Linked DNA regions of Anolis sagrei. The protein of the gene in region 4 purifies or fractionates together with the protein of the main gene of each other region. This does not show direct contact. Links are inferred from orthologs where the notes say so. Each region holds a gene or a part of one and is shown on either strand. Other genes may lie near its edges. The genes, in order: SMARCD3, PBRM1, DPF2 and BCL7A.

What was found.
Region 1: the proteins of BCL7A (region 4) and SMARCD3 purify together in Homo sapiens (affinity purification with mass spectrometry; 4 studies listed by BioGRID and IntAct, counting the BioPlex papers as one, with this or other methods). This does not show direct contact. The link is inferred for Anolis sagrei from reciprocal best matches to the Homo sapiens genes BCL7A and SMARCD3.
Region 2: the proteins of BCL7A (region 4) and PBRM1 purify together in Homo sapiens (affinity purification with mass spectrometry; 3 studies listed by BioGRID and IntAct, counting the BioPlex papers as one, with this or other methods). This does not show direct contact. The link is inferred for Anolis sagrei from reciprocal best matches to the Homo sapiens genes BCL7A and PBRM1.
Region 3: the proteins of BCL7A (region 4) and DPF2 purify together in Homo sapiens (affinity purification with mass spectrometry; 3 studies listed by BioGRID and IntAct, counting the BioPlex papers as one, with this or other methods). This does not show direct contact. The link is inferred for Anolis sagrei from reciprocal best matches to the Homo sapiens genes BCL7A and DPF2.

The regions. Positions count from the first base shown.
Region 1 is NC_090026.1:134,051,636-134,059,758, forward strand, and holds the start of SMARCD3 (SWI/SNF-related matrix-associated actin-dependent regulator of chromatin subfamily D member 3), read left to right. Parts: upstream 1-4,969; 5' UTR 4,970-5,029; coding exon 5,030-5,107; intron 5,108-8,123. UniProt on the Homo sapiens protein: Involved in transcriptional activation and repression of select genes by chromatin remodeling (alteration of DNA-nucleosome topology).
Region 2 is NC_090022.1:68,112,575-68,120,644, reverse strand, and holds the start of PBRM1 (protein polybromo-1), read right to left. Parts: upstream 3,042-8,070; 5' UTR 2,863-3,041; intron 1-2,862. Other genes in the region: GNL3 (guanine nucleotide-binding protein-like 3), read left to right, coding at 3,237-3,249, 4,831-4,889, 6,152-6,289, 7,288-7,398, 7,713-7,796. UniProt on the Homo sapiens protein: Involved in transcriptional activation and repression of select genes by chromatin remodeling (alteration of DNA-nucleosome topology). Required for the stability of the SWI/SNF chromatin remodeling complex SWI/SNF-B (PBAF).
Region 3 is NC_090032.1:10,258,364-10,265,338, reverse strand, and holds the start of DPF2 (zinc finger protein ubi-d4), read left to right. Parts: upstream 1-3,859; 5' UTR 3,860-3,887; coding exon 3,888-3,919; intron 3,920-3,932; exon of another isoform or gene 3,933-4,156; intron 4,157-6,975. Other genes in the region: FIBP (acidic fibroblast growth factor intracellular-binding protein), read right to left, coding at 1,226-1,336, 3,457-3,718. UniProt on the Homo sapiens protein: Plays an active role in transcriptional regulation by binding modified histones H3 and H4. Is a negative regulator of myeloid differentiation of hematopoietic progenitor cells. Might also have a role in the development and maturation of lymphoid cells.
Region 4 is NC_090034.1:32,155,389-32,162,392, forward strand, and holds the start of BCL7A (B-cell CLL/lymphoma 7 protein family member A), read right to left. Parts: upstream 3,118-7,004; 5' UTR 2,906-3,117; coding exon 2,814-2,905; intron 1-2,813.

The DNA.
Region 1 (8,123 bases), on a different chromosome or scaffold from region 4:
ACTGCAAGGCATCTCCCTCAGGAGGTCACCTAGGTGATCTATGGGCAAGAAGCCCAAGGGCCGTGGTGCCCAGGGCCTCATTCTGGCTCTCCTTCCCGTTCAAGGAGAAGGGAGAAATGGACTGGATGTGGTAGGAGCAACTATCTTCTCCTGAGGAGTCCATGATGGAAAGGAGTTTCTTGAAAGTTCCTTGTGAATTGGTGGCACAATTTCAAACATCTCCAACAAGGAGGGAAAATAGGAAATGTTTACAGGAACCAGGACCCTGGAAATAGCCCCCACCCCATATGTAGAGAGAAAGCCAGAAAGGCCAAAGCGCAGAATGAATTCAGAGGAGGTTTTGGGGAGCAAAAGAAAGAAGGAGGAGGAAAGAGCGGGGCCACGGCCTGAACAAGAGGGTGGAAGGAAGGCCGGTGGGACAGACAAAAGGCCAAGTTGCTCCACAGGTTCTTTACCTTTTGGGAGAAGTCTGAGAGCAACGGTGCTCCACTTGGGGATGAGGGAGTCAATGAAGCAATGGGGGAAATGCAGCACAGAACAGGTAAAGGCAGGACAAGGATACCTGGCTAATCTCAATGAAACCTCTATCTCCAGGTGAGGTTGAACGCCATCCAAGAATATGGAAAGAACAGGCAGGAGTCATTTCAGGACTAGTGACCATCACCTTTGGGCATTCCCACAGGCTGGAGGAGGGCAGATGTGGCCCCCTCTTCAAAAGGGGCCCCCAAACAAGAACCGCCTAGTCAGCCTGGCATCAAGACCTACCAGGAAAGACTCTAGAACTATCTCTAAGCATTGCAAAGGGATGCCATGCGGACATTAGCACAGATTTCTCAAAAACAAGTCATGCTGGATGAATATCCTTTCTATATATATATATATATATATATAGAGAGAGAGAGAGAGAGAGAGAGAGAGAATGAATGAGTTGCTAGCTTGGTAGGCAAAGGGACTTACTGTGTCTTTCCACCTCTGCAGGGGAGGTGGGCCCACTAAAATGGTCTGCCCCAGGAGACTTATGGATCCAAATGGATTCCTGACGGCTTTTGGGGATTTTCCTGCCTCTTTGGTAAGTGACCCTATCAAGGCTCTAGTCTCTCTCTGGGACAGGGAGATGACCAGGGCAATAGACCCGATCGCTCCAAAATGCCCCCTCACCAATAACCAAGCTAAACCAGCTCCTTGGTTCACTGAGAAGCTGGCAGCGATGGAGTGAAAGAAGAGGAGGCTAGAGTGTGTGTGGCGGCGGAAGCATAGCAGATCAGCTCGAGCACGCCTGGGTTCCTTTTTAAGGACCTATGACGCGGCAGTAAAGGCTGCACAGAAAACATCTATCGTGGCCAATATTGCATCTGCTAAGAACCGTCCAGCTGAGCTGTTTTGAGTTGTCAGAGGACTATTAAATCCGCCTCAGAGTTTGATCCCCGACAACAAACATTTCTTGTGACCAATACTGTGTCCGCTAAGAACCATCCAGTGGAATTGTTCCAAGTTGTCAGAGAACTATTAAATCCACCTCAGAGCGAGATCCCTGACAACTTGGCAGATCGCTGTGAAGCATTTGCTCAGTTCTTTGCAGACAAAGTCACTCTGATCCATTCTGACTTCGATGCCACTTTAACGGCAGTCTCTGAAGATGTGACACGAGCACCTGCTTGTCCGGTTTTGATGGATTCTTTTCAATTGGTTCAGCTTGAGGACCTGGACAAGATCCTTGGAGTAGCGAAGCCTACCACATGCATCTGGGACCCCTGCCCATCCTGGCTGACAGAAGAGGCCAGAGGGGGTTTGGCAGAGTGGGTCAAGGTGGTGATTAATGCCTCCTTACAAGAGGGCAAGATTCTAGCCAGCATAAAAAAACAGGCTGTTATTAAACCACTGTTGAAAAAGCCATCACTGGACCCCACTCAATCGTCAACTTTCGGCCAGTTTCCAATCTTTCCTACTTGGGCAAAGTCATGGAACGTGTGGTGGCCTCGCTACTCCAGGGGTTCTTGGTAGGCACTTATTATCTAGATCCGGCACAGTCTGGCTTTAGGCCGGGACATGGGACTGAGACAGCCTTGGTCACTTTAGTAGATGATCTACGCCAGGAGCTCGACAGGGGGAGTGTGTCCCTGTTGGTTCTGCTGGACCTCTCAGCGGCCTTCGATACCATCGACCATGGTATCCTTTTGGGACGCCTCGTGGGAATGGGACTTGGAGGTACTACTCTGCAGTGGCTTCGGTCCTTCCTGGAGGGTCGGTCCCAGAAGGTGTTATTGGGTGACACCTGTTGGACTCCACAACTGTTGTCTTGTGGAGTCCCTCAGGGTTCAGTACTGTCCCCGATGTTCACCTACGTGAAGCCGCTGGGGGAGGTCATCCGGAGTTTCAGAGTAAGGTGTTATCTGTACGCAGATGACGTCCAACTCTGTCACTCCTTCCCACCTGTTACTATGAAGGCTGTCCAGACCTTGAACCGGTGGTTGGCCGCTGTGACGGTCTGGATGAGGGCTAACAAACTGAAAGTGAATCAAGGCAAGACAGAGGTCCTCCTGGTCAGTCGTAAGGCCATTGAACAGGGCATAGGGTTACAGCCTGTGCTAGGTGGGGTTACACCTGGTCAGTTTCGACTGACCAGGTTTGCAGCTTGGGAGTCCTCCTGGATTCATTGCTGAGCCTGGAACCCCAGGTCTCCGTGGTGGCCAGGAGAGCTTTGGCACAACTAAGACTTGTGCACCAGCTGCACCCATACCAACGTCCTCTGGGCAACGTCCTTGCAGGCAGCCAATTCTGTCACACCAGAAGCAACTTGCAGTTTCTCAAGTGGCTCCTGACAGAGAAAAGAAAAACCCGGCTGTTGGTCAAAGGGATCTCCTGAGAATCCTCCGTGGGGAAGGGGTCCAGTCCAGAAGGGGTCTGAGGAGAGCCCAAGCTGAGTGGGAGCCCCGAGTGTGACTCGGCGGCTGCCAAAGGAGCCCGAGCCCTTCTCCTGGGGTGCCCCCCCCCCCCCGTCCCCCGACTTCTCTCCTGCTTGGCTCCCTCCGGTCTCTCGCCTGGTCCCGCTCTGGGCAGCAACATCCTGGGAGACGGGCAGGGTGGAGGAGGTCCGGAGGGGGGGGGCCAAGAGGGACCACGCCGCCCCCCCTTCGGCCCCACCGACCCCGCTCTTCCCTTCGGGGCCGGGCCCGTCCTGCGGGGAAGGGGCTTCAGGCTTGGCTTCCGGCTTGGCTGCGGGACCCCCCCCCCCGTCTTGGAGCCCTATGCTGGGGGGGGGGGAGGCGGGAGGGGTATGTGAAGGTTCTTCCCTCCCTTCTCGTGGGAGGCGGCGCGTGTCCCGGAGCCTCCGTTTCCAAACACGGGAGAGCGGAAGCCCCTCCTCCGTCCCTCCCTCCCCCCTCCGTCCCTCCCGCCGTCCGCTTGACTGACCTTCACGGGAGAGACAAGAGAAGTCTCTGCGCATGCGCCCTCCCCTCCTTCCCTCCCTCAGAGGAGGTAGCTATTCGGGAGGGGGGCAAGGGGGTGGAGTCGGGCGAGGAGACAACCCCCCCCCGCGCCAAGGGGGCCGCGGAGGAGGGGTCTTTTCCCCAGGAGGGGGCCTTTCCCTCCTCCCCTCCCCTCCCCTCCCTGCTTCCTTCCCGCGCGAAGTCTCTCCGCAGCCCCCGCCCTCCAAAGGGGCGTACGCCCCTCCCTCTTTCCCTCCCTCCCTCCTTCTCGAGCCTCCCTTGGGTACCACGCCCCTCCCGTTACCTGGCAACGCCGCCTCTGTTGCCAGGGAGACCAGCGCCGGAGATGCCGGTCACCGCGGCGCCGGGAAGGACGGCAAGTGCGCCCCCCCCTCGTTGCGGCGGGAAGGGAAAGGGGGGGGGTAATCGGATCCCATGCCTTTCCTCTCGGGGTGGGGGGGAAGAGTCGGGTCTGGCTCCTCTGGAGGGAGGGAGAGAGGGAGGGGGCGTCGAGGGGTGGGGGCGGGGCTCTCGGGGGGGGGCTGACCCGGGAGAGGAGGCCGGAAGCGGCGGAGGAAGGGAGAGAGGGAGGGAGGGAGGGAGGGCGCGGCGTCCGAGGGGGGGGGGGGGGGAGAGAGAGAGAGAGAAGGGGAGGGGCGGGGAGGAGCCTTTGTGCGGCCGGGAGGGGAAGAGGCCCCTTCCTTCCTTCCTTCCTCCCTTCCTTCTTTCCTCCCCTCCTCTTCCCTCCCTCCCCCCCTTCCCGGTCCGGCTCGGGGTCTGAACTCGGGGGGTGTCCTCCCGAGGGTCCGCTCCTCCCCCTCCCCTTCCCTCCCTCTCCCCCTTTTCCCTTCCCCTCCCCCCCTCTCTCTCTCTGTGTGTCTGTCGGCGCCTGCTTCCTTCTTTCCTCCCCTCCCTCCCTTCCCGGTCCGGGGTCTGAGCGTGGGGGGGGGGGTGTCCTCCCGAGGGTCCGCCCCTCCCTCCCCTCCCTCTCCCCCTTTCCCTCCCCCTCCCCTCCTCTCTCTCTCTTTCTGTGTCTGTCGGCGCCTGCTTCCTTCTTTCCTCCCCTCCCTCCCTCCCTCCCTCCCCCCCTTCCCGGTCCGGGGTCTGAGCGTGGGGGGGGGGGTGTCCTCCCGAGGGTCCGCTCCTCCCCCTCCCCTCCCTCCCCCCTTCCCCTCCTCTCTCTCTCTCTCTCTCTCTCTGTCTTGGGCGGAGGAATTTGGGCCGCAGCTGGTGCCTCTGCTCCGCCGCCTGGGGCCGTCCCTCGCGGCGCCCCGTGCGGACCCCTCCCCTCTTTCCCTCCTTCCCTCCTCCCGCCCTCCCCCTCCTCCCCTCCGCCCTCCCCCTGGGCCTCTCTCTCTCTCTCTCTCGACCGGCGGAAGGCAGGAAGGCGGGAGAGGCCGGAGGAAGAAGGAGAAGGAGGCCGGGGCGGCGGCGGCGGGGAAGGGAAGGGAAGGGGAGGGGAGGCAAGGCGGGCGGAGAAAGCAGGCCCCTCCCTCTCTCCCTCCTTCCTTCCCTCCCGCCTTCCCTCGCCCCCCCCCCCCTATTCCCTGGTCGCCGCTCTCTCTCTCTCCTCTCCCGCCCCTCCTCGCCCAGCCGGACCCATGGCCGCGGAGGAAGTGACCGGCGGGGCGCGGAAGGCCACCAAGAGCAAACTTTTCGAGTTCCTGGTCCATGGGGTGGTGAGTGAGGGGGGGAGGGGGACAGGAGGGAGGGAAGGAGGGAGGGGAGAGGCTGGCCCGCCCCGCCCCCCCCCCCCCACACGTGCCTTGCCCCGAACAGGTGCCCCGCCGAGGGGGGTCGCCCCGTCCCCCTCCCCGCCTGGGAGATGCCTTTGCGGGGAGGAGGGGGGGGGCTTCAGATTCCTCTGGATCTTCGAGAGGGGGGGGGGGGCTTGGCCTCCTGGATAGAGCAGGGCAAAGTGTGTGAGGAGGGGGCTTCTCGGCAGCCGGCCCAGGAGGACCCTCGGAAACTTTTGCCTGGAGTCTGTTCACTGGGAAGAGGAAATGCCCGGCGCCCCCCCCCCCCCTCAGGTCTCCGCAGGTGCCCCTCCCTCCCTCCGTCCCAGAGCAGCTGCGGGGGCTTTTCTGGGCAGCTGTTTCTTTGGGATGCAGCCCAAGCCTGGGGGGTACAGCTGAGGGGTGGGGGCGTGGGAGTGTGTGTCTGTGGGGAACACAAGAGAAGCCAAGCTCAGTTTTGGGGATATGCAAGGGGGAGTCATGAGGACTCCAGGGGGGTACAGCTGAGGGGGGTAGGAGTGTGTGTCTGTGGGGAATCCAAGCTCAGTTTTGGGGACAGGCGGGGGGGGGGGGGTCATGAAGACCCCAGCCCCGCCCCCTTCTGTCAGGGAGAAGGCTCCTTCCACCCAACCCCCCCCCCCCTAGGGTTGCCCTCTTCTGGACCCCCCTCCTCCTCCTCCCACAGGTGAGGTCCAGTGAAGTAGCAAAGGGTCAGCCAGGCCCTTCAGGGGGCAGCAGGGCCAGTCCAGGAGGAGGTGGAGGAAGGGGGGGGGTCGGCAACTCCCAAAGAAGGGGCCCCTTCTCTCCTTTTGCTGTCCATGTGTCACTCAAGAGGGGGCTCCTTTGCTTGCAGGGTGGGGTGGGGGGCCATGGAGGGTACGGTCCAGCCTCCTTCAAGAGTTTGGCCAGAGCTGCAAGTCCCCCCAAAACATCTTCTGTGAAAAGATGGAAGTGTCCCTCTAAAATATGAATCTGGAGCAGAAGTGGAGGCTCCTCCTATGGAGGCTTTGAAACAGAGGCTGGGTGGCCATCTCTCGGGAGTGCTTTGAACGTGATTGTCCTGCTTCTTGGCAGAAGGGGGTTGGACTGGATGATGGCCCACCAGGTCTCTTCCAACTATGATTCTTGGGGCGGAAGCCCACTGGAGGCAGCGGCCAAGAAGGGCCACTTCTGCCAAGACTAGAGCAAGCAGGGCTTGGTCAACAGGTGACCTGGCAGTGTCCAGAGAGGTGGACGGTGGGCAGCCAAGGCCAGGTAGAGCACTGGAGACCTTCTGAATCGTGGGCCTGAGCTGCAGGCAGAAGGGATCTTGGTGTGCAAGGGGCTCTGCTGGGGGCATCTCTCTCTCACTGGGGCAGGCCCCACAGGTTCAGCCCCAGGGAGAGCTTAGAGAAGCATCAAATGGGGTGGGTGGGTGATGCAGCCCCTTCAAAACTGGGCCAGGAGGCACTGAGGCCAGAGAGGGCTGGAAGGACCCCTGAAGACCTGACGGGGCAGGTGGTGCCCCCTCCCTGCCTCTCAGAAGCAGCCCCATTGCAGAGAAGGAGGGGGGGGCAAAGAAGAGTGGGGCACAATGCCAGTGGGGACGGTCCAACTTTGACCACCTGCCTCTCTGGGGCTGTCCAGAGATCCCTGTTGAGACCTATTGTGGCCCCTGGGTCCCTCTCTCCTGGCTCCTCCTCTCTGGGGCCACACCAGTCGCCCCTCCTCAATGTGGAACCCTCCCTAGTCTGAGAGTGGAGGGGGGCATTATTTGGGGAGGGGAGGGGAGGCTCACCCGAGGTCCTCTTCCTTCTCTGGATCTCCTTTGGGGCCAAAGTGCTTGTGTCCAGTTTGGGCCAAGTGGCTCCTCTTTCTCTTTTGAGGGGAGGGAAATGGAGGCAAAATAGGAGCTCAGGTGACCCCCCCTCCCCCCCACACACACTCAAACACAATCTGCACCCCACTGAAGGCTCCTCTGTGGGGGCTGGGGCCATTCTGGGCCCCTCTTTCCCCTGTTGAGTGGTCCTTTTCAGGAAAAGTTCAACTTCCTTCTTTGGGGAGGGGGGAAATGCAGGTAGTCCCCAAGTTACAAACATTTCTGAGGGTTTGTTCTTAAGTTGAATTTGCTTGTCAGTCAGAACGGGGACATTTTAAAGTGTAATTCCAGTCACACATACACAAACACATATATATTATAGGAGCCCTCAGTGGTGCAGTGAGTTAGACCGCTGAGCTGCTGAACTTGCTGATCAAAAGGTTGGCAATTAGAATCCAGGGAGCAGGGGAAGCTTCCACTGTTAGCCCCAGCTTCTGCCAACCTAGCAGTGTGAAAACATGCAGATGTGAGTAGACCAATAGGTACCGCTCCTTCTGGCAGGAAGTAAACAGCTCCCCATGCAATCATGCCAGTGGCCACTTGACCTTGGAGGCGTCTGCGGACAATGCCGGCTCTTCTGCTTAGAAATGGAGATGAGTACCAGAGTCCCAGAGTTGGACACGTCAAGAGGAAACCTTTATCTAGATAGATAGTAAGCCTGGTCAATCCATGGTTCTAAATGGTTCTAAAGTACTTACAAAACTAAAGTTCTGGTGGTGAAAATTTCAGAACTCTAACAAAATTCTCAAAATTTCATTATAAATGGCAGTTCCTAGATGGTTCTATCCTAAAAATCACCAATAATGAAATAATAATTACATTTTGAAAGTTTTGTTAGAGTTCTGAAATTTTCACCACCAGAACTTTAAGTTTTGTAAGTACTTTAGAACCATTTAGAACCATAGATTGACCAGGCCTAATAGATAGATAGGTAGATAGATAGGTAGATAGATAGATAGATAGATAGACAGAATAATAGATTCAAAGAGTTGGAAGGGATCTGGTGGGTCACCCAGTCCACCCCCATTCTGCCAAGAAGCAGGAATATTGCATTCAAATCACCCCTGACAGATGGCCATCCAGCCTCTGTTTCAAAGCTTC
Region 2 (8,070 bases), on a different chromosome or scaffold from region 4:
TAATAATCTCAAGTTTCATGTATGTATTTTAACTATGGTTTATCTCACCTTGAGTAGTGGGTAAGAAACATAATAATTATAATTAATAATAATTTGTTCTGAATATTCAGCTTTTCTAGTGAAGGGCACTGTCTTATTTTGATGTCATGTTTCATTTATCTATTTTAACTATGGTTTACCTCACCTGAAATGGGTAAGAAACATAATAATAAGGATGCCTGCCATAGATGTGGGCGAAACATCAGGAAAGAATGTCTCTGGAACATGGCCATACAGTTCAGAAAACTTACAGCAACCCATTATTATTATTATTGTTTTGTTATGAGCATGCAATTTTATTTTATTTATTTATTTACAGTTTTTATATTCCACCCTTCTCACCCCGCAGGGGACTCAGGGCGGATTACAGTGTACACATATATGGCAAACATTCAATGCCAGTTTGACAGACAACAAATACAGACAATATACAGAGGCTATTTAACTTTTTTCTGGCCGCCAGGGGAGCTGCTGCTTTCATCGTCCATCAGCGACACCGATGAAGTTCTTCTGCATTCCACATCCCTGAGTTTTCTTTATGGCCTCATAAATTAGTTAATTTAGCCTCCCACACAAGGTGGTAGCTTATTTTCCTACTTGACAGATGCAACTGTCTTTCGGGTTGCAAAGGTCAACAACAGGCTACACAATGGCTGGACACCCACTCCAGCCTGGGGTTGGCTTCGAACTCATGACCTTTTGGTCAAAGTGATCTTAATGCAGCTGACACTCAGCCAGCTGCGCCACAATCTCGGTGCAATGTTTCTAGTGAGAGATATTCAACCTTTAATTATCTCATGTTTCATGTATGTATTTTAATTATGGCGTACCTCGCCTTGAGAAGTTGGTAAGAAACATAATAATTGCTAATAATATTAATAATATTTTGTTATGGATGTTCAGCTTTTTTAGTGAAGTATACTCAGTCCTATTTTGATCTCATGTCTTATGTATGTATTTTAACTATGGCTTACCTCGCCTTGAGAAGTGGGTAAGGAACATAATAATTAATAATAATATTAATTAATAATATTTTGTTATGAATGTTCAGCTTTTCTAGTGAAGGATAATCAGTCTTATTTTGATCCCATGTCTTATGTATGTATTTTAACTATGATTTACCTCACCTTGAGAAGTGCGTAAGAAATAATAATAATTATTAATAATATTAATAATATTTTGTTATGATGTTAAGCTTTTCTAGTAAAGCATACTCAGTCTTATTTTGCTCTCATGTTTTATTTATGTATTTTAACTGTGGTTTACCTCACCTTGAGAAGTGGGTAAGGAACATAATAATTATTAATAATGTTAATAATATTTAGTTATGGATGTTCAGCTTTTCTAGTGAATGATACTCAGTCTTATTTTGATCCCATGTCCTATGTATGTATTTTAACTATGATTTACCTCACCTTGAGAAGTGTGTAAGAAATAATAATAATTAATAATAATTAATAATATTAATATTATTTTGTTATGGATGTTAAGCTTTTTTAGTGAAGGATACTCTGCTTTATTTTGATCCCATGTCTTATGTATGTATTTTAACTATGGTTTGCCTCAACTTCAGAAGTGGGTAAGGAATATAATAATTATTAATAATATTAATAATATTTTGTTATGTTCAGCTTTTCTAGTGAAGAATACTCAGTCTTATTTTGATCTCATGTCTTACGTATTGTGCAGAAGTCATTGATACTATGTATGTGTTTAACTGTTAGAGTATATATTTGTGTTTGCAACAGTAGCTAAAACTAGAGTTATCTGGTTTGAATCCACAGTGAGCGTTGCTAAGGAGACCAGGCAGGCTAGCTCAGGAGAGTGAGAAGTGGGCGGAGCCAAGCAGAAAAAGGGGCAGTGTGTGAGTGAGTGTGGAGGCTTGAAAAGCCTGGGAGAGAGGTATGTGTGAGCAGCTGGAGGTTTTTCAGTCTAGAAGGGCTGAAGAGAGAAACCTGGCCAATTTCTTTAGTCAAGGAAGACTAAAGGAAGCTTGTTAAGATCCCTAGTCAAGGAAGGACTAGAGATCAGAGATTTGATCAAGGAAAGATCAAATTGGAAGGCTATTCATAGTAGGAAACATTGTTCACTAAAGAGCTTCACCTCAGTAAAAGCCACCAGCTGTGTTATTTGGAAGAGTGGACTGTATTACAAACAAAGTGATATTCAAAGTTCTATAAGTTATTTAACAGCCTGCAACCATACGCTTTGTACACAATAAACTTGTTATCTTTTGTTGAAGACCGTCTCGTCTCAATTAATCTGCGTCTGTAAAGCCAGATCTCATTGGTGGTACCTCAAATACCTCACGTTGGCGGCAGTTACCTTAATTTACAAGTAATAATTGGCCTCCTCTATAATATATTCTTATACACAACTGAGGCCTGAGATTAATTCCCTCCATAATCATTCACACCTGTACAATTGGTTCGCGCATAACTGTACAGTATATATTTTAACTATGGTTTACCTAGCCTTGAGAAGGGGGTCAGAAACATATTAACTATGATTATTATTTTGTTATGAACGTGCAACATTTCTAGTGAATGACCTCAGGTTTTATGTATGTACTTTCTCTATGTTTGACTTAGCCTTATGGAGAGGGAGGTAAGAAACCACATTTGTTATTGTTATGATGACGTTATGATTCGCAAATATTCTGGGAAAATGTCAGAACCTCCAAGACCATCTGGTGCCCATCGTTTTGGGAGAGAGAGGGAGGGAGAGGAGGGCTCTTCTCACACAAAGGGCGCCTGCCGCGGCCTCCTTCCTTCCTGCCTGCCTGAGCCAAGCCAAGCCCGGCCCCTCGCCCTCGGCGCTTACCCAGCCCGCGGCTACTCCGGTCCCTCCTCCGGCGGCGGCGGCGGCGGGGGCGGCGCTGCTGGCGTTGCCGCTGAGCCTGGGCCTCCTGCAGCCGCGGCCGCGCTCGGCCCCCCCGGCCCCCCGGGCCCTCGGCGTCGCCACTGTTGCTGCTCTCCGCCCGCTCCCAGGCGAGCCTGCCGCTGTCGTGAAAGAGAAGCTCGGCCGCCAAGCGAGGCTGGGCGTGCGACAGCCAGGAACAAAAGGGGGGAGGGGGAAAGAAGGAGGAGCGGAGCGTGCTTTATGGTAGCCGCAACTGCGCAGGCGCGAAGGTCTTCCCGTTTTTTTGTCGCACGTGGAGAGGAAGGCAGGCGGAAGGAGACGCAGCAGCAGCCATCATGAGGCGGCCCAGTAAGGAATGCTTTAGCCAGGGCTTTTGTCAGGAGCACTTTGGGGAGGGTTCTTTCTTTTCTCTCTCTCTCTCCACCTCTCCTTCACAGCGGCACCGAGGAAGGAGATGAGAGAAGGATCTGAATCAGGCCTGGGCCAACTTGGGCCCTCCAGGTGTTTTGGACTTCAACTCCCACAATTCCTAACACCCGGTAGGCTGTTAGGAATTGTGGGAGTTGAAGTCCAAAACACCTGGAGGGCCCAAGTTGGCCCAGGCCTGATCCAAATGCACCCTTCGACTTGTGGGAGCCTTCTCATTTCCCCACAAGGGGAGCTGGAGCTGACAGAGGGAGCTCATCCACGCTCTCCCCAGATTCAGACCTCCGACCTATTGGTCTTGAGTCCTGCGGGCACAAGGGTTTAACCCATTGCGGCACCGGGGGCTCCTTAAATGCCTTCATTAGTTAAATGGATATACAGTAAGAAAGACAAGAAACTTTGTCATGCAACTTTGAGCAGATTAATTCCTCATTTATTGACACACTCTTCCATCTGGAAGCTTCTCATGTTAAAAAAAAAACATATCTAGTCAAAAGTTGGGCCGGGCTTTAGTACAGTAGGTTAATCACCAAGCTGCAATAAATCCTGCCAAACGGAAGATTGGCAGTTCGAAGCCCGGGTCAGGGTGAGCCCCTGACCTTTAGCCCAGCTTCTGCCTACCTAACAGTTCGAAAACAAATGTGAATAGATAAATAGGAACTGCATTAAAGTGGGAAAGTCAAGTCATTCCAGTCAGAAAAAGGAGGAAGTTTATGAACAAAGAAAGCTCTTCGGCAAGGAGATGGAGCGAGCACAGCCTCCAAAGATGCCAAAAGATGGGAAAGCCTATATAGACCTCTATCTGTTGTCTATCTTGTCACTATATAATCGACATTGAATGTTTGCTGTATATGTGTTCTGTGATCTGCCCTGAGACCCCTTCAGGGTGAGAAGGGCGAAATATAAATACTTTAAATAAATAAATAAATGTAGCATATTGATATTAATAACAGCCAGTTTCCATGAGTGATTTGGAAGGAACCTGATCTAGTATAATACCTAGGCCTGAAATTCCTGATCTAGTGTTAAAGCCTGCAGTTGGATGTGTTTGTTGAGATTGAAAGCTGAAAATCTACTGCCTCTAGATGTCATTTTTATTTAAAACATCTGCACACCACTTTTAACTGGGGTGGGTAAGAAGTAATAGTTCTTACTGATAAAAATAACTCTGGATAGAATCATAGAGTTGGAAGAGACCTCGTGGGCCATTCAGTCCAACCCCCTGCCAAGAAACAGGAAATTTGTATTCAAAGCACACCCGATAGATGGCCATCCAGCCTCTGTTTAAAAGCCTTCAAAGAAGGAGCCTCCATCACAGTCTGGGGCAGAGAGTTCCACTGCTGAACAGCTCTCACAGTTAGGAAGTTCTTCCTCATGTTAAGGTGGAATCTCTTTTCTTGTAGTTTGAAGCCATTTTTCTGTGTCCTAGTCTCCAGGGCAGCAGAAAACAAGCTTCCTCACTCCTCCCTATGACTTTTAATACATTTATGTTTTGTTTTTCAGAGCTGAAGAAAGCTAGTAAGCGCATGACCTGCCACAAACGTTTTAAAATACAGAAAAAGGTAGGTGTGAACTATTGCTGCAGTCAGAATACCAGACCAACCAAAGCTCCAATGATAGTTTTTAGGCCAGAAACTTTCCCTTTGTAGTATATCCATTCTTTGAAATAATTTTATGCTATCTGCTCTACTAGGAAGCATTGGCCTCACATGAGGTCATGCAATGTCGGTTCAAGGTTCTCTTTAGCTGCTGGATGAAGTCTGCCAGAACTCTCTTTAAGAATGTTTTTAATTTCTTTATGAAGAGATTTCTTTATAATTTCTTTATAAAGACAATTGTTTTTTCAGTGCTGGTTAGGGAGTCACTTCCATTAGACATGGGTCAATGGACCAGTTAGCAGCACTTTCATTAAGGGAGAACAGAGTTAGATTCTACTTTATCACCATCATCTCTTGTCTCCATTGTAGTATAAATAGTCTATTTGGTACTTGCTCTGTCTAATGTGGTGAGATCTATGAATTATTGATTCAACCAGTGCCAACAGGGAGAGGAAATGATAACAACCACCTTCTAGTAGAATAACAGTAGTAGAGTAGTGTTTTGCTGAATCCGCAACGACAGTGGGTAAATGTTTGGGTAAATGTTGCTTCAGCTCCAGAATCATTAAAAAGCTAAGCAGATCAACTTGATTTTCTCACCCCTCTTCTTTTTTTTCTTCAGTGTTGATTAATAGAATTGCTGGTTAAGTTCAAAACTCCCCCTAAGATAAGAGTGACTAGGCAGTATTCCTCTCTAATTGTGCTACTCAGAAGATCAGAGAGTGAAAACGACGTGGCTCCAGCCATCTTCCCCACCTGCAAGATCAATATTGCATTAATTACTGTTTCTCCAGGAAAAACCGGGGGGGGGGGGGAGTGCCGCCATCGAAACCGGCTGGATGACTGTGGACAAGTCACACTCTCTCAGTCTCAGGAAGGCAAGAGCAGACCTCCGCTGAAGCAACATATCGAGAAAACCCTATGATAACTTTGCTTGAGGATCTCCATAAGTCAGAAATGACTTGAAGGAGCACACAGCAACTACAATAACATTTGTATAATGCATGCCCAAGATAATGCCTACATTCCTGGTATTTAAAATATTGCCATAAATTAGTTTCGCCATTCTGAGCCATAAAAGTTATAGTTGTTATTTCCCAGAAATTCCACATTTTCTACTGGAAAAATTGAAAAGTCCTGAGAAAGAAATTGTGATATTTTGATTGTGGGTTGTCAATAAAGCTTCTTTAAAAAAAATAGAAATATTTTGTTGTTATTGTTGATAGGTACGAGAACACAAGAGGAAACTCAAGAAGGAAGCCAAGAAGCGTGGCCATAGAAAACCAAAGAAAGACCTAGGAATTCCCAATTCTGCACCTTTTAAGGAAGAAGTTCTTCGAGAAGCTGAACAAAGGAAACAAAGGGTAAAACAACAGAGGCTGTACCATTAATGGATCTCTTATCCTATTAGGAGTTGTGTTAGGAATAGAGATGGGAAAACCTGGAAAAAATGAGAAAAATTGGGGGAAAAACATTCAACCCCCCCCCCCCCCCCAATTATTCCAGGTTTTTTCCAGGCCTTCCCATCTCTATTCAGAACGAACCTCTTTTCTTATCAGGAGTTGTGTTAGGAATCATCTTGAACAGAGCTTTCCAAACATTTCATGTTGGTGACACATCTTTTTAGACGTGCATCATTTTGCAACACATTAATGCAGTTTTACTACTAAACCAGAGGTTAAACCAACCCCTTATAAGAGATATGGGTGCAACATATGATAACCTTTCATTTAGATTTTTGTAAATATAGGATTTGTAAGATAATAACATACATTTATAAGATTTTTGTCATTTATGAGTAGCAATACATAAATATGTGGAAGAATTTTTAAAATTCTACATTCGCATGACACACCTACACACTGCAGCCGACACACTAAGATGTGACAACACACAGTTTGCAGACTTCTGATCTAGGAAATATTGGCAACTTTCACCTCTTAAATATTTTTATTATGTCGAATTAGTTTTGAGTTTTAACAGCAAAATCTGATTAATTTAGATTGAGTGTTGCATTTTTGTTGTAGTATCAGTTCAACTGTAATTGTAAATGCATACATTTTGCTCTCATACAATTTCAAGCACAGTCCAGGAAAAGCTAGAAATAGGTTGATATTGACAATTCTTGTGCATCATGTTTTCCTATCTCTAATGCCATTAGAGTTATTTTTCTACTTCTCCCAAAGTTTCCAGTTTTTTCGCTGACTGGCTAAAAAAAATTTATTTTCCTTAGTTCCTGTTGTATGATGCCAGCAATATTACATAGCAATAAATTCTAAGTACTCTGTTATTGCTAATGCCTTGCTGAGTGTGGAGGGAAAGCCTTTCTGAATATAATTTTGTGTGTGTGTTTTGTGAACAGCGTGAAGAACTGAAACAGAAGCAAAAACTTGATCGGCAGAAAGAGCTGGAAAAGAAACGTACACAGCAAAAAAATAAAAAGGATGGTGGTGAAGTAATGCGAGGTGAAAAGGTATGTATTTCTATATCAGTGCTTGAATCTGACTGGGATGATAGCACAGGAGAGGTATGTTAAAAGTTTGCTTTGACAACATGTGTTGCTACAGATAGAAATTCAAAGATGAGTTGTCACTGAATATGTTTTCTTTACTTGAATATAATGGTGTTGGATGTCAGTTTTAAAATCTTTTTTTCATTGTAAAAGTTGGGTTTTTATTGGACTAAAAAGTATCTACAAATTGTTATATGGATAAGTTTCTGTTACTTGCATCATTTTGGTTATAAGTTCTGGAATTAAAAATTTTCTTATATCCCCGTGTATCTTAGAAATCAAAGAAAAAACAAAAATTGAAGTCAAACCAGCAGATTGCTAAAAATTCAAAGAAACACTTTTGCCAGGAACTGAGAAAGGTAAGATTATGTAACTTTTTTCCCTGAGGTTTGATACATGTTCCAGAGATTTGTTTCACTTCAGTAGAGAAAGGGAGATAAAAAGTGATTTTTAGTTCAAACATTTGGAATTTGCAGCTTTTTTGAATTCACAAGACTTGTTATTATGTAATAATTGTTTATTATATTATAAAATGAGTTTCACGTGGATACCCCAGTAGTGTCCCATCTGGGGAAACTGCCCATACCTCATTTCAGATATGCAGTATAATCATTCAGTGTTTTTCAGTCTTCT
Region 3 (6,975 bases), on a different chromosome or scaffold from region 4:
GAGACATCTCCAGCTCATCCCTTGTTTGGGTATCAGCCAGCACGTCAATGACTTAAATCAAGACATAGTTTTCTTAGATCTACAGAGACACTTGCTGGAACACCCCAGCAAGCGAGAGTCCAAAAGTGGCAGACCCAAACCCAGCACCTCAATCCATGGGTGATACCAGATGAACGACTCCCCCCTGGGCACTCAGAAGAGTGGGCGACTTGGAAGGCTCTGAACAGACTGTGCTCTGGCACCACGAGATGCAGAGCCAACCTTCAGAAATGGGGCCACAAAGTGGAATCCACGGCATGCGAGTGCGGAGAAGTGCAAACCACACACCACTTACTCCAATGCAGTCTGAGCCCCGCTACATGCACAATGGACAGGGGCGGCTCAACCCATTACACAAAGTAAGCATTTGCGGCATAGTTGATTTTGCACAGGGGCGCTCTTGGGGGAAAATAGACCTTGACATATGTGTTGTTACTGGGATGTATAGTTCACCTACAATCAAAGAGCATTCTGAACTCCACCAATGATGGAATTGAACCAAATATGGCACACAGAACTCCCACGATGAAAGGAAAATATATATCAGTGATTGGTTGGGGGGGGGGGGGGAATACTGTTTGCTTACCATTGAAAATTACCTAGGGCCACCTCTGACAATGGAGGACCTTCTTACAACTGAAGTCGAACGTGACCCCCCCCCCCACCCTCTCCCCAGAGATAGTAACTTATAGTTTTGCTAAGGGCAAGGACACCAGGCTGGATAACAAAGGTTAAGCCTTGGTCAGTTTGGTGGGTATCATTCAATCAAGGCTTTATGCTCTATTCTCATATGTTTACAGCAGGAGGTAACCCATTTATTACTGAAAATAATAAGAGTTGCAGAGATGCAGAGCCAATCTTAAGAAATGGGGCTATAGGGTGGAATCCTCGGCATGCGAGTGTGGAGAAGAGCAAACCACTGACCACCTGGCACCTTGAGCCCTGCCACATGCACCATGGAGGACCTTCTTGCGGCAACCCCAGAGGCACTCCAAGTGGCCAGATACTGGTCAAAGGACATTTAACCAACTACCAAGTTTGCAAAATCTGTGTTTTTTTTTCTTTTCTTTTTAATCTGTGTGTTTGTTTTGTTCTGTTAGAATTGTAATATAATGGTATAGTTGCTGATGACACGATAAATAAATAGCCCCAAAACAAAGAAAGACACCTGAGACACCTGTCGCACCTGAATAGCCATCCAGCCAGAGCTGGTAGACCTCCTCATCGATGAGAGTAGTGTTCCCCACGAAGATGTCCAGATTGCTGGCCATGTTGCCTCTGAAGATGGAACAGGAAGCTGCAAAAGGAAGGTAAAATATAATTCATTTACATCAGGCATGGGCAAACTTCATCCCTCCAGGTTTTTTGGACCTCAACTCCCACAATCAAAGGTTTCAAGCTCTGAGGATTTCCTGGAAAGGAATCTCTCTGGAGCACTGCAGTACACCCAAATACCTGGGAGTTACTCTGGACTGTACTCTGACTTATAAGAAGCACTGCTTGGTGGAGAGGTGGCTGCCAAGAGAGCAGAAATGGTCCACATTTACTAACGTTACACCGTTACGCTGTATTCCTGGCATTGGAGAGGGATTGGCTGGTGACTGCTGGAAGACCACTTGGGTTTTCTCGATGTTCAATGTCATTGGAGTTTATTTATTTATTTATTTATTTATTTGGTTTACTTTTACCCCGCCCTTCTCACCCCGAAGGGGACTCAGGGCGGCTTACACATCCAAGGCACAATTTGATGCCCATAGCATACATCAATAATAAGCAATAAAACAAAATAACAAATTAGCAAACAACAACAACAACAACACATTGCATCTAAACCCGTTAAAACCAATAAAACCAATAAAATTTCATACAAACCGATACAAACCGCTTCTTCCTTCTTGGCAGTCAGTGTTCGCTATCTCATGGTTCAGAGTTTTCTTCCACATTTATCAGTCCACATATATCAGTCCTGCCGGTCCTAATTGCCTGGTTGTCCTATCTAGTTAGCAGATTGCCCGAAGGCCTGGTCCCACAACCACGTCTTTGCCTTTCTCCTAAAGGACAGGAGTGATGTCGATGCCCTGATATCCACTGGGAGTGAGTTCCACAGGTGGGGGGCCACCACTGAGAAGGCCCTGCTCCTCGTCCCCACCAGCCTTGCTTGGGAAAGCGGTGGAGTCGAGAGCAGGGCCCCCTCAGATGATCTTAAATTCCGTGGTGGGACGTAGAGGGAGATACGTTCGGACAGATACGCTGGACCGGACCCGTACAGGGTTTTGTAGGTCAAGACCAGCACCTTGAATTGGGCTCGGAACTGAACCGGCAGCCAGTGGAGCTGACACAGCAGAGGGGTGGTGTGCTCTCTGTATGTCGCCCCAGTGAGCAGCCTGGCTGCCGCTCGCTGGACCAGTTGAAGTTTCCGAACCGTCTTCAAGGGCAACCCCACGTAGAGCGCGTTGCAGTAGTCTATTCGGGATGTAACAAGAGCGTGGACCACTGTGGCCAGATCAGACTTCCCAAGGAACGGGCGCAACTGGTGCACAAGTTTTAATTGTGCAAAAGCTCTCCCGGCCACCGCTGAGACCTGGGGTTCCAGGCTCAGCGATGAGTCCAGGATCACTCCCAAGCTGCGAACCTGCTTTTTCAGGGGGAGTGTAACCCCGTCTAACACAGGCTGTAACCCTATTCCCTGTTCGGCCTTACGACTGACCAATTACTTGCTAGGAAGTGCATCAAGGGGACGAGTATACACTGGGACAGGCATGGCATTATTGTTCATTCCTCAAAAGCAAGGTGGAACAGCCAAGTTTTCAAGCTTTTCCTAAAATATCACATGAAAGCTGTTCCTCTTTATTTTCCCATCTTTCCTTTAGTTGCTTTCCCTCATTCCTCCCTCCCTCCTTTTCTCATGTCTTCTTTCTCCTTCTTTCCTTCTCTCTTTCCATCATACAGAGAAGCCATTGAAATCCACAAGCATGAGGACAATTTCAACAGAAAGGAAGAGACCATGAAAATGAACAAAATCTGGCTACCAGTATTAAAAAAAACTCTAAAATTACAATAGCAAAACAACAGAGGGGAAACAAACAGGCACAGAAAATCACTCTCAACAAAAGATTCCCCCCAGGCACTTCCAAGCCATTGAATGCTAATCAAGCTGGCCAATTGCAACATTCACACCTAGCCCCAGCAGACAAGAGTCCTTTGTCCCACCCTGGTCATTCCACAGATATATAAACCCATTTTTCCTACTTCCAACAGACCTCATTACCTCTGAGGATGCTTGCTATAGATGCAGGCGAAATGTCAGGAGAAAATGCCTCTAGAACATGGCCTTATAGCCCGGAAAAACCTACAATAACCCAGTGATTCCGGCCATGAAAGCCTTCGACAATACATTCTGCCCCTCTCTCTCCTTACCTTTTCTCCTCTCAACCACAACCACCACCTTTCTCTGTAGTAAATAAGACCTTTTGACCCTCTTCCTGGCCAAACTGGGGCTCACGCATGCGCAGACCCCGAGTGTCACTCTCCAGGCGCCATCTTGGCTCCTGGCACTGCAACCTCTCCTCTTAAGATTCCACAGCCAACCGCATTCATAGCGAAACGCAGTCTTGTCTTTTTTTTGGTCGCTCAGGGCATCCGTCGAAGCCTCCTGTGGCGTAAAAAAAAATGAGATCATTCAACGCATGCGCACACAAACTACACCCCGTTCTCGGGATTGAACAGCATGAGCTGGGAACAGCGAAGGGTCATGCGCAGCCACGGAGCGCATGCGCCGTGCCGTGCGCGAGCATCCCTCATGAGAGCCCGAGCGGGCGGTTCGCGCAGGCGCAGTTGAGGCGGGCAAGATGGCGGCGGTGGTCCAGAATGTGGTGAAGCTGTGAGTGGAAATTTTCCTCTTGTGTTCCCCCCTCTTTTCCGTCAGGAGTGGTACAGCCCGAGCCTTTGCGAAGCGGGAGCAGAGGGCGGGCCCATTCCATTCGCAGGGGGGAAAGGGGAAATCTTTGTTGAGGGAGAAGGAGGAGAGTTGTTGGGTCTTTTTTCTTCTCATTGTTTGGCCCTAAAGTTTATGATACATATGAGCAGGATATAGTGGAGCCAGAGGAGAGAAACACAGGTGAGTCAGTGCCTTAAAGTTTCCAAAGTAAGGTTTGTGGAAGGGAAATAACACTTTTGTTACTTGAGGCGGGCCTGAGGGAAAAGGAGGCCTTCAGGAATGGAGGAAGGACAACTCCACCTCAATGAATGGTGTCCTGAGGTGGAAGGGATGTTGTTGGTGTATACTAAAGTGTGCATTGCCTGGGTTTGCTTTTTCTTTGAAGCTCTTTCTTTCCTTCCTTCTCTCTTTCCTTCATCTTTCCTTCTTCCTTCCTTCTTTTCCCATGTCTTCTTTCTCCTTCTTTCCTTCTCTCTTTCCTTCATACTCCTTCGCCCTCTCTCTTTCCCTGCCTTCCTTCAGTTGCTTTCCCTCATTCCTCCCTCTCCTTCCTTCCTTCCTTCTTTCCTCCCTCCCTCCCTCCTTCCCTCCCTCCTTCTTTTCTCATGTCTTCTTTCTCCTTTCCTTCTCCCTTTCCTTCATACTTCTCCCTCCCTCTTTCCCTTCCTTCCTTCAGTTGCTTTCCCTCATTCCTCCCTCCCCTCCCTCCCTCCCTTCCTTCCTTTTTCTCATGTCTTCTTTCTCTTTCTTTCCTTCATACTTCTTCTCCCTCTCTTTCCCTTACTTCCTTCAGTTGCTTTCCCTCATTCCTCCCTCTCCTTCCTTCCGTCATTCCTTCCTTTTTCTCATGTCTTCTTTCTCTTTCTTTCCTTCTCCCTTTCCTTGATACTTCTTCTCCCTCTCTTCCCTTCCTTCCTTCAGTTGCTTTCCCTCATTCCTCCCTCTCCCTCCTGCCTTCCTTCTTATGTCTTCTTTCTCTTTCTTTCCTTCTCTCTTTCCTTCATACTTCTCTCTCTTTCCCTTCCTTCCTTCAGTTGCTTTCCCTCATTCTTCCCTCGCCTTCCTTCCTTCCTTCTTTCCTCCCTCCCTCCTTCTTTTCTCATGTCTTCTTTCTCTTTCTTTCCTTCTCTCTTTCCTTCATACTTCTTCTCCCTCTCCTTCCTTCCTTCTTTTCTCAAGTCTTCTCTCTCTTTCTTCCCTCTCCCTTTCCTTCATACTCCTTCTCCCTCTCTCTTGTCCTTCCTTCCTTCAGTTGCTTTCCCTCAATCCTCCCTCTCCTTCCTTCCCTCCCTCCCTCCTTCTTTTCTCATGTCTTCTTTCTCCTTCTTTCCTTCCCTCTTTCCTTCATACTTCTTCTCCCTCTCTCTTTTCCCCACCTTTTCTTCAGTTGCTTTCCCTCATTCCTCCCTCTCCTTCCTTCCTTCCTTCCTTCCTTCTTTTCTCATGACTTCTTTCTCTTTCTTTCCTTCTCTCTTTCCTTCATACTTCTTCTCCCTCCCTTTCCCTTCCTTCAGTTGCTTTCCCTCATTCCTCCCTCTCCTTCCCTCCCTCCTTCTTTTCTCATGTCTTCTTTCTCTCTTTCCTTCATACTTCTTCTCCCTCCTTGCCTTCCTTCCTTCAGTTGCTTTCCCTCATTCCTCCGTCTTCTTCCTTCCCTCCTTCCTTCTTTTCCTTCTCTCTTTCCTTCATACCTCATACTCACTCTCTCTTTCCCATCTTTCCTTCATTTGCTTTTCCTCATTCCTCTCTCTTCCTTCCTTCCTTCTTTTCTCATGTCTTCTTTCTCCTTCTTTCTTTCTCTCTTTCCTTCATACTCCTTCTCCCTCTCTCTTTCCCTTCCTTCCTTCAGTTGCTTTCCCTCATTCTTCCCTCTACTTCCTTCCTTCCTTTCTTCTTTTCTCGTGTCTTCTTTCTCTTTCTTTCCTTCTCTCTTTCCTTCATACTCCTTCTCCCTCTCTTTCCATTCCTTCAGTTGCTTTTCCTCATTCTTCCCTCTCCTTCCTTCCTTCCTTCTCTCCCTCCTTCCCTCCATCCTTCTTTTCTCGTGTCTTCTTTCTCTTTCTTTCCTTCTCTCTTTCCTTCATACTCCTTCTCCCTCTCTTTCCCTTCCTTTAGTTGCTTTCCCTCATTCCTCCCTCTCCTTCCTTCCTTCCTTCCTTCCTTCCTTCCTTCCTTCCTTCCGTCTTTTCTCATGTCTTCTTTCTCTTTCTTTCCTTCTCTCTTTCCTTCATACTTCTTCTCCCTCTCTTTCCATTCTTTCCTTCAGTTGCTTTCCCTCAGCCTTCCCTCTTCTTCCTCCCTCCCTCCTTCTTTTCTCATGTCTTCTTTCTCCTTCTTTCCTTCTCTCTTTCATACTTCTTCTCCTCCCTCTTTCCCTTCCTTCAGTTGCTTTCCCTCTTTCCTCCCCTTCCTTCCCTCCTTCCTTCCTTCCTTCTTTTCTCATGTCTTCTTTCTCTTTCTTTCCTTCTCTCTTTCCTTCATACTTCTTCTCCCTCTCTTTCCCTTCCTTCCTTCATTTGCTTTCCCTCATTCCTCCCTCTCCTTCCTTCCTTCCTTCCTTCCTTCCTTCCTTCTTTTCTCATGCCTTCTTTCTCTTCCTTTCCTTCTCCCTTTCCTTCATACTCCTTCTCCCTCTCTCTTTCCCTTCATTCAGTTGGTTCCCTTCCTTCTTTCCTTCCTCCCTCCCTCTCCTTCCTTCCTTCCTTTCTCATGTCTTATTTCTCTTTCTTTCCACTCCCCTTCCTTCAGTAGCTTTCTTTCATACCTCCTTTTTCTTCCTTCCTTTCCTTTCTCATCCTTTTTCTTGACTTTTTCTTTTTCCTTCCCCCTTTCATACTTTCTCCCTCTTTCTTTTCCTTCCTTCTTTCAGTTGCTTTCCCTAATACCTCCTTTCTTCTCTCCTTCCTTCCTTTCTCATGTCATCTTTGGGCCCTCCCACAGAGCCCTATATCCCAGAATATCAAGGCAGAAAATTCCACATTATCTGAGTGTGGATTCAG
Region 4 (7,004 bases):
ACTGTTGGTGGCTTGGCTTTTCAGCACAACAGCTTGGATTTCTCTTTTGAAACCCCCTTCTTAGTTCTGTATTGGAAAGGACATTTTGGTCCTTTGTTTAATACAAGTTGAATGGACTGCTAACAAGCCTTCTAGCTTTTAAAACAGAGACCATCCAGTATGAAAAGAGCAGTATAAATCTATTTGCTGGATTCCATTCATAAACACCTAGAGATGAACAAAACCTGGCTCTGTTTTATCAGACACAAAATCTTGAGCTACATGAAATTGAAGGACACCGGCTCTGTATGAGCTATTCACTTGCCCAACACAAAACAGGCTAAAATTACAAAAACACAATCAAGTTCACCAAAATAAGACTCTCTAATTACATTCATATCATGTCATCTGATCCAAAAATACCAAACGACACCATGATTGCCTATTGTCTCTCAATAACCATTTCGCTGCATTGTTTTAAGTATGCCACAATGACTTCCACAATAGAAACTACACAATAACCCCCTGCAAAAGAATGAAACGCTAAAATGCTGTAAAGGTTTAACAAAAGGGGATGATTCTACCAGGTTACAACCTTCAATTATATAATTTCAAATAAATTCAAGCAGCAATTACAACCTCTTTCTAACACTGAATTTAAATTGTACAAATCAAACAATACATACCAGCATACATTTGACTTACTGTGTGAAATAAACCTTTATAATAGATCCATCTGGTTGACCCATTCCAATTAAAATATTGGGGGATGTACATATTTTGCCCTTTATATGGCATTTAAAGGAAAAAACTATTCTTTCAAGCCTCCCTTCTGAAAAGTGTCTGAAACGGATTTAAGCTAACCCTTCACACTTGAAAGTGCACAAAGGTTTTGAAGGAAAAGATGAAACGTTTCTTTTGCAGCAAAGTAAGCCTGTCACATAAACGCCCATCCTATTTGCCATTTTTGTGCCTATTTAATATCAAATCCTTCTGATTTGAGAGAGAGAAAGAAAATAAAGATATATAGGCCACAAAGCACATTCTCCGATCTTCCACGCTTCAGACAAAAGGAAAGGGAACCAATTGGGAGTCAAATGACACTTTAGGACTGATCAGAAAGAGGCTGCACAAAGAGAAAAGCAGCCAGAACAGCAAAAGTTCACCGGAAGGTGAGGATGAGAGATGAGCCCATGAGCGGCAAGAGTCCACTCAAAAGCAGATTGAGAAGGGTTTCCCCCCCCCCCCTAAGAATATGAATATTCACAGAAATGAGGGATGTGCCCTCTGGGAAGAGTGGCCCTGAAAAAGGTGAAAAGGAAGTCAGGAGATCCTTAGATGGGACTGTAACTCAGGTACATGCTTCACCTGGAGAAGTCCCAATCAGGGGCAGATTGGGAAGGGAGAAAAGGAGTCCCCAGTTCAAAAAGATCTCACTGATCAAAGTAGGGTGGAGAGTAGTTGAACTGGAGTAATGATCCAATTCTGTATGTAAACCAGATTCATTGCTAGCTATTGGGGGGGGGGGGGGGCTAACAGGAGAAAAAGTCAGGATAGGACAGAAAAGGCTACAAGAGTTCAGACAGAGGAGAACAGAGATTTGAATACTCTGCTGGTCTGAAGAAGGGTCCAGCAGAACAAAATGGGAGAGGATGAAACCACTCCTGGGGTGCATCACAGGCTGAAGTATCTATCTATCTATCTATCTATCTATCTATCTAATAAAAGTGAAAATATGTTTGTATGTATGAATGTATGCTTGTATCTATGTGTTCAAGATGGCTCTCACATTGAGAGAGAGTCCCATGACTCCTGCCAGCGACAAATCTGGACCAAATTTGGCACGCAGACCCCCACAGGACCAAATTTCAGTCCTGACAAGTTGGGAGGGAATTGTCCTTGGATGTTGGGAGTTATAGTTCAGCCACAAACAAAAGACTCCTCTAAACCCAGCTGATGATGAATCTGGGCCAAACTTGGTACACACATCCATCATGGCAAACTTGGCCAGGTTTGGGGAATACTGGCCAGGTTTGGGGGGTGGGGACTGACCAGGACGTTAGGAGCTGTTGTATAGCCACATTTTTTGGCCTTTTCGAATAGGTCTACTTCTAAAAACCAACGCCATGCAACGACAGACAGCTTCTAATGTGGATCCTTCTGAAAGAGCAAATGCTCTTTTGAAAGAGAGTATGAAAAGAAATCTAGGGCGGGAGGGAATGAGAAGTCGGTGGGTCAGTCAGGGCTGAGCTGTGAAGGGGTCATGGGGGCAGGGAAAGCAAAGGCCTTGGGCCAATAAGAGAGGCGGCTGCGTAGGAGAATGAATGGGCAGGGTGGCGGGGGGAAGAGGCCAAAGGAGCCAAGGAGGGCACAGGACCAAGGCTAGTGCTGGGAGTGGGGTGAGGGAAACCGAACCTGGGGAGGAATGGATCCCCTAGCAGGGGAAGGGGGGGAGAAGTCTTGCCTTGGGGGTTATGGGGCAAGTCTTGGCTGTGAAGGGGGGTTGTCTGAAGAAGACTGGAGCAGATTGGGAAGGGGAGAAAGGGAGGGCAGACAAGGCCAAGGGATGTGGGGCACTAGGAAGCGACCCAGGAGGGGGCGGGGCCTGTTTGGGGGGGGGGGTAGAAGCAACTGAAGGGAAGAGCTGGAGGAGAGGCAGGCGAAGGAAGAGCGGGGGTGGAGTGGGGGAGAGAGAGAAGAGCGAGCCTATCTGCCCCAAAGGAAGCCAGCACTTGGAGGGGGGAGGGCGGGTTCTAAGGGCTGCCCCCTTCCCTTATTCTCCAAAGGAACTCCTCCCCCAAAAAGGACTACCCTGTGCCCTCTGCTCCCCTCACCATTTGCGGACTTTCTCGATGGCGGCCATCACCCGCTTGATATCATCCTTAGCGCGGCTGCGGGTTTCGGCCCGCACCGACCGGCCCGACATGCTGCTGAGGCGGCGAAGGGGGTTGGACGCGGCGCGGGGGGGGGGGGAGGCAGGCTCCGAATGGACGGCTCCCTCCCTCGCTGAGGAGGTACAAGAGGCAGCGGTAGCAGCAGCAGAGGGAGAACAAGTCCGGCCTGGCTGGTTGGCCCCCTCACGCACAATGAAGGCTCCTCCCCGCCTCAGCCCGCCTCGAGGGAAGAAGGCAGGCAGGGAGGGAGGAGCAGCACGCGGAGGCGGCACTGCGCAGGCGCCAGCGCGGAGCACGTAGCCTTCCCGAGCCCGTTGGGGGCGGGACCTGTGCGAGAGGCAGCCTTCCCGCCCATTTGGCCGCTGAGGGCATGGAGTTCCCTCAGGGTTGGCCCTCTACCTTGGGAAAGGCTCGTTGTCTGTTGACGCCTAGCCTTTCCAAAAGTGGAGAGCCAAGCCTGAGGGGACTTGAGGCGTTTAACGACCGCCTTCTAAAACACCTTCTTTTCTGCAGTCCATAAAGCACCATTTGTACAAAGGAGAAGACCAGTCCCAAAGCATCGCAAGCCCAACCACAAGTTCCCATAGGGCTGGTGTCCAAAAGGAAAGCCCGCCAGGCCCTCCATTTCTTCTTCGAAGAGACCCCAAACGCCATGCAGTCCCAATGCCATTCGCTATTTTATGTGTCACAAGCCAGTTGAGAATACTGTTACAATGTATTAAAAAATACAAGGAAAGTTAAAAGCTTGGCATTATACCAGATTTCCTCTGACCAGAAGCTGGCCACTTGGAATGCCTCTCGTGTCACTGTGAGAAGGTCCTCAATTGTGTATGTGGTTGCGATGTAATAGGTCGTCAGCAGTTTGCTCTTCTCCACACGTGCATATTGTGGACTCCACTTTGCAGCCCCATTTCTTAAGATTGGCTGTGCCTCCCGTAGCGCCAGAGCGCAGCCTGTTCTGTGTGCCCAGGAGGGAGTTTCTCATCTGGTTTCAGCCACTGATTGAGATTCTGGGTTTTAGCTTGCCATTTTTGGATTCCCGCTTGCTGAGGTGTTCCTGCAAGTATCTCTGTAGATCTTAGGAAGCTGTCTCTTGGTTTAAAGCGTTGGCGTGCTGGCTGATATCCAAACAGGATGGGCCAGAGATGCCCATGGCTGCTACTTCCCGACAGATGTCAGGTGGTGCAATACCATCTAAACGAGGGGTCCTCAAACTAAGGCCCGGGGGCCGGATGTGGCCCTCCAAGTTCATTTACCTGGCCCTCGCTCAGGGTCAACCTAAGTCTGAAATTACTTGAAAGCACACAGCAACAACAATCCCATCTCATCAGAGATAGTTTATATTTGTTAAAATTGTTCTTCATTTTAATTATTGTATTGTTTTAAAGTGTGTTTTGCACTACAAATAAGCTATGTGCAGTGTGCATAGGAATTAATTAATGTTTTTTTCCCAAATTATAATCCGGCCCTCCAACAGTTTGAGGGACTATGACCTGGCCCTCTGTTTAAAAAGTTTGAGGACCCCTGATCTAAACAGTATGATTTCTCCAGCAGTGTAGAGCGTAGACATCCTGTGATAATGTGGCATGTCCCAATAAGAGACACATCCACTTTTTTGTGTTTTTTTTCCTTTTTTTATTATATACTAGTTTGGGGACCCGGCACTGCCCGGGTAATTTGAGAAAGGAATTATGTATCAAGGTTGCTTATTTATCAGTGATTTATATGGCTCGCAGTGGTCTCAGGAAGTTAGTGAAGGTACTGCAAGTCCCATCATCTGTGGTCCTTCCTCCTCCAAACTGCACCAGAATGGAGAGTGGGTCGTGGGGGCTCTGTGTGCCAAGTTTTGTTCTTGATCAATCATTGGGTGAGGGTCACAGTGGTCTCAGAAAGTGAGTTTAGGTACTGCAAGTCCCATCAGCCATAGTCTGTTCTCCCCCAAATCTCACCAGAATGTTGAGTTGGCCATGGGGGCTCTCTCTGCCAAGTTTGGTCTTTCTTGGTATTTGGATAAGTGTCGCTGTGGTTTCAGGAAGTGAGTGAAGGTACTGCAAGTCCCATCATCCATCGTCCGCCCTCCTCCAAACAGCATCAGGATGTAGAGTGGGTCATGGGGGCTCTGTGTCCCAAGTTTGGTCTTCATCGGACATTAGATGAGGGTTGCAGCCGTCTTGGGAAGGGAGTGGAGGTACTTGAAGTCCCATCATCCATGGTCTGTCCTCGAAAGTGCACCAGGATGTAGAGTGGGTTATGCGGACTCTGTGTGCCAAGTTTGGTCTTGATCAGTCATTGGCAAGGGTCTCAGTGGTCTCAGGAAGTGAGTGAAGTGACTGCAAGTCCCATCATCCATTATCAAATTCTTCCAAACCGCACCAGGATGTAGAGTGGGTCATGCAGGCTCTCTGTGTAAATTGTGGTCCTGATCCATCATTGTTGGCAGTTGTAATGGTCTTAGGAAGGGAGTGCAGGTATTGCAAGCCCCATCGTCCATGGTGCATCCTCCTCCAAACTGCACCAGGATGTAGAGTGGGTCATGGAGACTCAGTGTGCCAAGTTTGGTCTTTATCGGTAATTGGATGAGGGTTGCAGTGGTCTCAAGAATTGAGCCAAGTTACTGCAAGTCCCATAATCCATGGTCCATTACCAGCCAAACCACACCAAGACGTAAAGTGGGTCATGAGAGGTCTATGTGCCAAGTTTGGTCCTGATCAGTCATTGGATGAGGTTAACAGCGGTCTCAGAATGTGAGTGATGGTACTGCAAGTCCCATCATCCATGGTTCATCCTCCTCCAAACTGCAGTAGGATGTAGAGTGGGTCTTGCGGGCTCTGTGTGCCAAGTTTGGTCTGTATTGGTAATTTTCTGACAGAGCCCCTGGCCTTTTCCTTTCCTCTCTTTGTCATCTCGGAATCTTGGAATTGAGGCTAGCCAATCAGAGACCATATGCAAATTTCCTTCTCTCATGTCTCCGTTTCTGCCATGAACCCTTTTCTCCACCAGGGGCTCCTGTTGGAGCTGGCCAATCAGAGACCATATGCAAATAGCACCACATTGGCGGCCAATCGGAATCTTGGAACTTTCTGGCTGGCCAATCAAAAAGCCTGCACATACACCGCCACACTTCCGCCGCATACAAACTTTGACTTTTATTATATACTAGCTTGGGGACCCGGCGCTGCCCGGGTTATTAGAGAAAGTGGGTAATGGCAGTTCTGTATGCCAAGTTTGGTCTTTATTGGTAATTGGATAATGGCTGCATTGTTTTCAGGAAGTGAGTGAAGGTACTTGAAGTGCCATCATCCATGGTCCACCCTCCTCCAAACAGCAGCAGGATATAGAGTGGGTCATGGGGGCTCTGTGTGCCAAGTTTGGTCTTTATCAGTCATTAGATGAGGGTGGTAGTGCTTTCACTAAGTGAGTGAAGGTAATGCAAGTCCCATCATCCAAAGTCCATCCTCCTTCAAACTGCAGCAGGATGTAGAGTGGGTCATGGGGGATCTGTGTGCTAAGTTTGGTCTTGATCAGTCATTGGATTAGGGTCGTAGTGGTTTCAGTAAGTGAGTAAACGTACTGCAAGTCCCATAATCCAAGGTCAACCCTCCTCCAAAACTGCAGCAGGATGTAGAGTGGGTCATGGGGGCTCTGTGTGCCAAGTTTAGTCTAGATTGGTCATTAGATGAGGGTTGAGCAATCTTGGGAAGGGAGTGGGGGTACTTGAAGTCCCATCATCCATGGTCTGTCCTCCAAACTGCACCAAGATGTAGAGTGGGTCATGGGGGCTCTGTGTGCTAAGTTTGGTCTTGATCAGTCATTGGATGAGGGTAGCAGTGGTTTCAGTAAGTGAGTAAACGTACTGCAAGTCCCATAATCCATGGTCAACCCTCCTCTAAAACTGCAGCAGGATGTAGAGTGGGTCATGGGGGCTCTGTGTGCCAAGTTTGGTCTAGATTGGTCATTAGATGAGGGTTGCAGCAATCTTGGGAAGGGAGTGGAGGTACTTGAAGTCCCATCATCCATGGTCTGTCCTCCTCGAAAGTGCACCAGGATGTAGAGTGGGTCATGGGGACTCTGTGTGCCAAGTTTGGTCTTGATCAGTCATTGGCGAGGGTCTCAGTGGTCTCAGGAAGTGAA